Canis lupus familiaris: one gene and its partner. The protein of the gene in region 1 interacts with the protein of each later gene in a pairwise test. Links are inferred from orthologs where the notes say so. Each region holds a gene or a part of one and is shown in the gene's direction. Other genes may lie near its edges.

Evidence for each region.
Region 2: the proteins of WW domain-containing adapter protein with coiled-coil (region 1) and DYDC1 interact in binary tests that used the Homo sapiens proteins (3 or more experiments, as listed by UniProt). The two-hybrid records come from large-scale screens. The link is inferred for Canis lupus familiaris from reciprocal best matches to the Homo sapiens genes WAC and DYDC1.

The regions. Positions count from the first base shown.
Region 1 is NC_049223.1:15,363,892-15,367,702, reverse strand, and holds part of WW domain-containing adapter protein with coiled-coil, read left to right. Parts: intron 1-1,812; coding exon 1,813-2,058; intron 2,059-3,546; coding exon 3,547-3,669; intron 3,670-3,811.
Region 2 is NC_049225.1:30,231,341-30,235,765, reverse strand, and holds the start of DYDC1 (DPY30 domain-containing protein 1), read left to right. Parts: upstream 1-1,458; 5' UTR 1,459-1,474; exon of another isoform or gene 1,475-1,630; intron 1,631-1,655; exon of another isoform or gene 1,656-1,807; intron 1,808-3,777; exon of another isoform or gene 3,778-3,918; intron 3,919-4,425. UniProt on the Homo sapiens protein: Functions as part of axonemal radial spoke complexes that play an important part in the motility of sperm and cilia. Plays a crucial role during acrosome biogenesis.

The DNA.
Region 1 (3,811 bases):
GCCCCTAAGCTGACCCTTAAGGAGTATGATCTGGAGAAAACTGTCATCATAAATGTAAGAACTGACAGGTTTACTAGTAATTCCCAGCTTCTGTGGGGACATGAAGATTAATAAATGTTTAGTTCTTAGAATTGGAAATGAGGATTTGCAGTTACTAGGTAGCAGTGTAATATTCAGATGCAGTATTCCTGCAACTTTTATACATCATATAATAGTCTTAATTTGGGATATATATATATATATATATATATATATATATACACACACACAAACTTGAAAATCTTCAAGAAATAGGTGTGTATGGAAAATTAAAGATTTTTAGCAAATCTTCATATTTAGGCCAGTATTGTAAGCATATGCATGAACATCTTGATTAGTTGTTTTAATATTTTTATCCAGAGGTCCTCTGTTCCTCTTTTTTTCTTTCTTTAAAGTTATTATATTAGTAATATTCCATGGTATGAAAGTACAGTGTTCATCTTTCTGTTGGTGAACATTTAGTTTGTTTCTAGTTTTGTGCTAAAATAGAAACAAGCATTGTATTATTATAAAAATTGTAAAGCCATTCCAGTTTCTTCTGGGAAATGTCTTTATTTCATCTTTTGTTCATTTTTCTTTCGTGTAGTTTGTCTTTTCTGATTATAGGAGTTCCTTAGAATACTTATCTGTGCTTTGAATGTAATTGGTTTGCTTTTTGTAGTTTTCTGCGTCTAGATGTCAAAGATACCTTCTTGTTTTCATCTTCTAGTTCTAAAGACACATAACAGAAGTTTAATCGACCTTATATTGGTTTTCTTTCAATTGTGAGTTTTTATACTGGCAAGACACATTTCACTAGCTGTGTTCTTTTTTTTTTTCATGAACTTCATGGCCGTACTAGCCCTTACCTTTTTCAAATAAGTTAATAGAATCAACTTCTCAAATACTGCCAAAAATGCTTTTGGAGTTTTGATTGCGATTGCATTGACTCTATATATGTAATTTGCAATTATAGCTTTCAGATAATGACCATTTTCCGTGCATGTTTTATTTATTTATTTATTTTTGGTTTATTTAAAATACTGAATATATGTATTGTGGATGGGTTGCTATTAAAAAAGCATCATTTCTAGTGCTAATAAGTTTTAAATGTGACAAATAGATATATTTATAGAAGGAAAGTATGTAATCTGGAAACTCAATTGTTAAGTATGAAAGTTCAAAGTTGGAGTTTCATTCTTCTGATCTGTAGCCTATATTGGAGGTGCTCGCCATGGTGTTAAATCCTGATTTGTTTTCTGGTCATTGTCATGTTTTGGAGGGCTCTTACTGTGGTCATAAACATTTTCACCTTAAATTAAGTCCAGGAGAATTGTATTGTACCTTTATCTTAATAGAAGCTTATTTGAACGTGTAGTTAATACATAACTGTGTTTGAAACAGCATTACCAGTAAACAGAACATGAGACTTTTAGAATCAGACATGAATATAGCAGAATCACTGCTTTACCAAGTTTTGTGATTTCAAGCAAGTTACATAATCTTTCTTGTTTAGTTTTCTCACCTGTGAAATTGGGATATAAAAATACTTAACCCTATTATTCTAAGTAGGTAGATCTTTACTGAGCCCCCTCCCTGTGTCACCTTGGGAAGATGGAATGAAATTACTTGAGTTGGGTGTTTGGCACATGAAAGTTGCTCTTTCGATGTTGGTTCTAGTTTTCTCCAAGTAGTTTTTTTTGGTGTTTGGCACATGAAAGTTGCTCTTTCGATGTTGGTTCTAGTTTTCTCCAAGTAGTTTTTTTTCAGCCTTGTTATCTCCTTTTTACTTAGAGTCTGCACCAGGAGACAAATCTGTATCACATTCTTGCACAACTCCTTCCACATCCTCTGCCTCTGGACTGAATCCCACATCTGCACCTCCAACATCTGCGTCAGCAATCCCTGTTTCTCCTGTTCCACAGTCACCGATACCTCCATTACTTCAGGACCCCAACCTTCTCAGACAGCTGCTTCCTGCTTTGCAAGCCACGCTGCAACTTAATAATTCTAATGTGGACATATCCAAAATAAATGAAGGTAAATTGGTAACAGTTTTATTATTATTATTTGCTTCGTGTCGTTAGTAAATTCCCCAATTTAGGAGTGGTCTTTTGTTTCATTTTGAAATTCACATTTGAGCGTCATTCTTTGAAATTCATATCATAACCTCATGGTTGTTGAAAACCTTTGGTATTGTAATTAAGTTAGTAGTACTTGGATTTTTCCTGTATATTTTTCTTTTTTTTTTTTTCTCTGTATATTTTTCAAGACTTGCTGTGTACGGTATTTACCGGAGATAAAGCTATTCTGTCTGCTTAATGTGTATAATAAATGTCTTTTTTTTTTTTTAATTAAAGAGCATTTCTAAAAACTGATATAAAAACACTTAAATTCTAGCATATTGTTAATTCCAACTTTGCTTTTCAGTATGCTATTTAGCTAGCAACATCAAAGAAGTCTGAATAAAAGTGGATATAGTTTTAATTGACAAGCTATTCAAATTCAAACAGTCTTAAGAGCATTTTAAAATTTTCTGTTTAGAATAGTCCATTTCAGTATGTGTACATTGTTACATAATATATTTAACAGTAGTGCTAAATGGTTAAGTTCTTCCTTTATCTTAAAAATGGAGCTATTTCACGCTAGTTGGTCAATAATTTTGTTCTTACTGTACTTTCTTGCATTTTGATTTTATTCTCTTAAGATAACTGTGCCATTCTATTTGATAGGTACATGTTTTACTAGGGAAAGTAGGACTTTATGCAGTTTGAAGAGATGATAGCATAAGAAAATGTCAATAATAAAGGATCTTTGAAAATAAATGATGTTCCTAAATTACCTAGCTTCTTTTATTTAATGTCTGTTCTTTAAAAGATTGTTGGAGTGGGTATTAATGTAGGGTTTTATTTTATTTTATTTTTAAAGATTTTATTTATTTATTCATGAGAGGCACAGAGAGAAAGAGAGGCAAAGACACAGGCAGATGGAGAAGCAGGCTCCATGCAGGGAGCCTGACATGGGACTCGATCCCGGGTCTCCAGGATCATGCCCTGGGCTGAAGGCAGGCACTAAACCGCTGAGCCACCTGGGCTGCCCTAATGTAGGGTTTTAATGGTCACCTTGTTTAGTAAAGCATTCACATGAAATAACTACCCTTTATCTTTTTAATTTCAGGTAACCTACAAAAGCCCTTTAGCTATTGATGAATAGATTTCTGGTATAATCAGAATTTCCAGGGAACACTCTTTACTGTTTTTAAAAAGTCTCCGGAGTTTCTTAAATTGAACACAAATTTTAATGCAAAGGAAAACTACTGTTTTCCTTTACAAAAAAAACCATTAAATTTCTTCTACCTCTGATCATTTCCTATCTCTGGACCCATTTTATTACCATCTTACAGATTTTTATTTTGAGAGTTCTAGTTTGAAACACTGCAGTTTCTTTGGGGTTTTTTTAGTTTTCAAGTTGTTACTAATACCATACTGTGCCACTATGTTTTTATTTTAATTTAAGATATGTGTTTAGTTCTTACAGCAGCTGTGACACAAGCCTCATTGCAGTCTATAATTCATAAGTTTCTTACTGCTGGACCATCTGCTTTCAACATAACTTCTTTGATTTCTCAAGCTGCTCAGCTCTCTACACAAGGTATTCATTTTCTTAGGTATTGTGAGAATTGTATATTAATTTGGAGCAGGGGGTTCATGGTAAAACTTTTTGGTTTCTGAAGAGACTAGCTATAACAATTTGATGTTTGTTTTACAGGATCCTGTAATTTGTTTTTAATTTT
Region 2 (4,425 bases), on another chromosome or scaffold:
GCATTACCTTGTGGAAATGCACATTCTCAGGTCCCACCCCATACCTCCACAGTCAGAGTCTGCATTTTAACAAAATCCCCACGTGATTCAGTTAAAGATCTACTTTGCCTTTATGGCAGGAGAACCGCCCTTCCCAGGGAGCGGAATCCCCACTCTGCCACAAGCCTCTCCACTTTCCAGCCCCTGAGCGCCTGCTCTCCTGTGTAGGCCGCAAATCCTTTCTGGAGGAAGCATCTGCTCTAAATTGCACGTTTTCAACCATGGTCTCCATGAATTTTGGAGCCTGACGGTTTACTAAAACTTGATGCAAAGACAAGAGAGCCAGAATGACAGAGCCACAGCTCAGGGCCAGGAGAGGGAGGGGCCAAAGAGGTGCCTTTTGCAGCCCTCTCTCCACAAACTGAAGGGCACATTTAGCAGAGGAGAGGGGCCTAGTTTTCCTAGAGCTCCTCTGGGAGTCCTTCACACGCCCTCCCTGTTCACCGCCTAGCAACCCAGGAGGCAGGCTGGGAAGCACAGAGGTGGCCTTGCCACACCACACTCCCAGGGCTAGGCGCACGGTGGGTGCTCGCAAGTATTTTTTGACTTAATCTCCGAAGGCTCTGGCTTGCTGGCCAGGGCAAGAGCCTCCGCTCCTTCCCAGCTGTCAGCGCCCACTCTGGTACTCCTGGCCTTAACCGCCGGGGCTGAGGCCGCTCCTGCCCAGCACCGCCCAACACAGATTAATCCAGAACCTGGGAAATGCTAGCAGAGGGTTGTCCACAAAACACTAGGTCAGGGAAGACCTGCTGCGGTGGAGGCGGGGCCTTCTGGAGGCAGAAGCACCTGTGCTGGTCCCAAGAGGGGCCAGGCGGGGTCACCAGCAACCGCAAAGGTGCGGAGCCGGCAGGGGGCCATGGGACTTTCCCAGCCTGGGTGGGCAGGCGCCCTCTGCGGCCTGTCCCACGACCCCGCCGCCCCGGCCCTCCCAGTGCACACGGGCCTGCCCGCCTCTGGCTCCGTCCTCCCAGCCTGCAGGTCTCAGGCTCGGCTCCATCCTCCCAGCCTGCAGGTCGCAAGCTCAGCTCCGTCCTCCCTCCCGCAGGTTGCAGGCTCCGTCCTCCCAGCCCGCAGGTCTCAGGCTCGGCTCCATCCTCCCAGTCTGCACGTCGCAAGCTCAGCTCCGTCCTCCCTGCCCACCGGCTCCGTTCTATCCTCCCAGCCCGCAGGTTCTAGGCCCTGCTCCATCCTCCCAGCCCGCAGGCCGCAGGCCCTGCTCCGTCCTCTCTCCCGCAGGTGGCAGGTTCGGTCCTCCCTGCCCGCAGGTCGCAGGCCCCGCTCCGTCCTCCCTCCCGCAGGTCGCAGGCCCCGCCACACCCGCGCCCGGTCCTCCCCGCCGCCCGCCCGCCCCCCGCGCCCCTACCGCGTGCAGGGAGCCACCTGGGTCCGGGGCGCGCGCTCGTTGCCTAGCGACGGGACGCGCCTCGCGGGGCCGGTAGGTGCGCGCGTCGGGTGTGCGCATGCCCAGCGCGGACGCCCAGCGCCCCGCCCCGCGGCGGGTGCTTGGGGGGGCCCGCGGCAGCCGCGGGTGCGGCCTCGGCCTGGTGAGCGGGGAGGGGCCCCGGCGGCGCCCGGGCTGCCCGGCTGAGAGGTTAGTGCCGCGCCCTGGCAGCGCCGCCGCCTCCGGGCCCGCCCCGCCCGGTCCTCCGGGGCCACGCAGGGCGGAGGGGGAGGGGACGCGGAAGGCCCGAGACCCCTCTGCAGACCCAGGATGGGGAAACCATGCAGGCTCCCCAGGTCGGAGGGTGCCAGGTAAAGCCCGGCACAGGTGAGCTCCAGGTAGACGACGAACCAGCTGGCTTATGCTGCCCTGTGCTAAGCGTTACTCCCTGTTTCTCCAAAATTCATATTGACCCGGGCATCCTATATATATATATAGGATATAATGTATATATATTAGATTTTATTTATTTATTCATGAGATTGACACAGGCAGAGACACAGGCCGAGGGAGAAGTAGGCTCCCCGAGGAACGTCTGATGCGGGACTCGATCCCGCGACCCCAGGGTCACGCCCTGAGCCGAAGGCGGGTGCTCCACCACTGAGCCACCCAGGGGTCCCATCCGTATTATTTTGTGCCGCATCGGGCAACTCCACCCGAACCCCCTCCCCTCCCGCCAGGCTGGGCGGCCCCCCCCCGCTTGGGCAAGGGACCTCTTTGTATCTCTTGTTCGGCCTCTCCAGGCTTGAGGGAGCCGTGTCTCTGCGAAAGGCCTTTCTTACCTGGAGCCGAGATGAGATGCCTGTTAGTGTGTCTGAAAAATAACAACCTGTGAGTTGGGTTTTATCACCATTTCGTGGACAGGAAACCAGGGAAGCCAAGTAAGGAGCTTCCTGGGCTCTGCTATCCCGTGCCCAGGAGGATTCGGGATCAGATTCTACTCCTAGCCCAGAAGTTTCTCCCTTGGGGACATGGTCCCTTTCCCGAGTATTATCCTTCTGGAACAGCAGCACGAATCTGTTCTTTCTTTTATGTTTCAAGTGACATTGAGATGTCACTGTCGTCATTTTTGTCTTTTTGAGTGTGTCGCGTCGAAGAAGCACAGTGAGGATGCTGCGTCTCACACTCGCTGATACTGTAATTCTTCTCTCCGTGTGGTGAAGACACCAACGCCAGCTTGAAAGGGAATTCGGTTCATTCGTGCCAGTTTGCAGAGCTTAAGTTTTTATGACCACGTTTATGGGCACACATACACACATTCCTTTCCCCACTGCTTTCAACAAAAGAGGTGGCTTACTCTATAAACAATTTCTGCACCTTTTTAATTCACTTTGCACCGTGTCCTAGAGATCACTCCCTATTTTAAAGATCTTCCTCGTGCCTTTTATATGATATATATGCACCGTCATCCATCGTGTTGCTGTGTCTCATCAGTCCCTTAATGATGAGCTTTTGGATGAGGCTCCAGTTTGACTGTTCTAAGTAATGGAGCAAAATAACCACATGCACATATCATCGCTCCATATTTTTGCAAGTTAAGATCCGACAAGTGAGATCAATGGTTTAAAGGGTAAATACTTACGTAATTTTCTAGATACTGCCAAATTCCTCTGCGCAGGGGTTATACCATTTTGTACCCTCACCATCGTCAAATGAGAGAGAGCACTTTGGGGATTGAAGGATGAACCTCAGGAGGTTGTTGTTTCTGAAATTTTATGCAGAACATTTGGTGCATTTGTCCAGGGACAGGCCTAGACATGCTGGCATTCTGTTCTCTCATGTTCAGCTCATACCTGACCAATGATGCGTATAGTATATATTTACTGAATGATGAAGACATTTCATTAGATTCTTAGAAGTGACTGGTTTCCATAAGGGTAATTTGAGAGTGATAGTTTTTTTTCAAAGCACCGGAAGTACAGTGTTTGCTATATTCTTTCCTCCCTGCCTCCTTCCTTCTTTCCTTCCTTCCCTCCCTCCTTCCTTCTTTTCCTTCCTTCCTTCCTTCCTTCCTTCCTTCCTTCCTTCCTTCCTTCCTTCCTTCCTTCTTTCCCTCTTTCCCTCCCTCCCTCTCCTTCCTTATTTCCCTCCTTCCCTCCCTCCTTCCCTCCCTTCCTCTCCTTCCTTCTTTCCTTCCTTCCCTCCCTCTCTCCTTCCTTCCTTCCTTCCTTCCTTCCTTCCTTCCTTCCTTCCTTCCTTCCTTCCTTCCTTCCTTCCTTCCTGTCTGGTCTAAGATTGTTCCTGTCCACCTTCATAACTGCATAGACTGGGACATTACTGGGAGGATGGAGGAAGTCATTCACGTGCCTCCACGGAGAGCCAGCACGCCTGCCCTGTGATTAAAACACACTCCTTGAGGAGCTGGAGGAGCTTGTCTTCTAGCAGGAGGACAGACATGTGTGTACACACACGATCTCGGCGTGCATGACAAGTGCTGTGTGAGTCGCTTGGAGAAGGTGGGGCTTCTTTGCGTTGCTTGGGAAAGTCCAGGGAATGAGAGAGGGCCAGCATCTTGCAGGCGAGGAGATGTTTCCTCAGCTGGGAGATAGAGAGAAAGCGTTATGGGCAGAAGTCTTGGAGATGGCGGTGTGCAAGGCGTGGCTGTCAGGATGGCAGACTGCTGAGGGTTGTCAGAGCCCAGGATATGCTGGCGGCAGGGGAGAGGTCTGGGGTGAGCCTGAGAAGAAATTGGGGCCAGGGGATCCCTGGGTGGCTCAGCGGTTTAGCACCTGCCTTTGGCCTAGGGTGTGATCCTGGAGTCCTGGGATCGAGTCCCACGTCGGGCTCCTGGCATGAGCCTGCCTCTCCCTCTGCCTGTGTCTCTGCCTCTCTCTCTCTGTGTGTCTATCATGAATAAATAAATAAAGTCTTAAAAGAAAAAAAAGAAATTGGGGCCAAAGTGTGAGGAGCTTCATATGCTATTCCTCGAAGGTTGAATTTTTTTG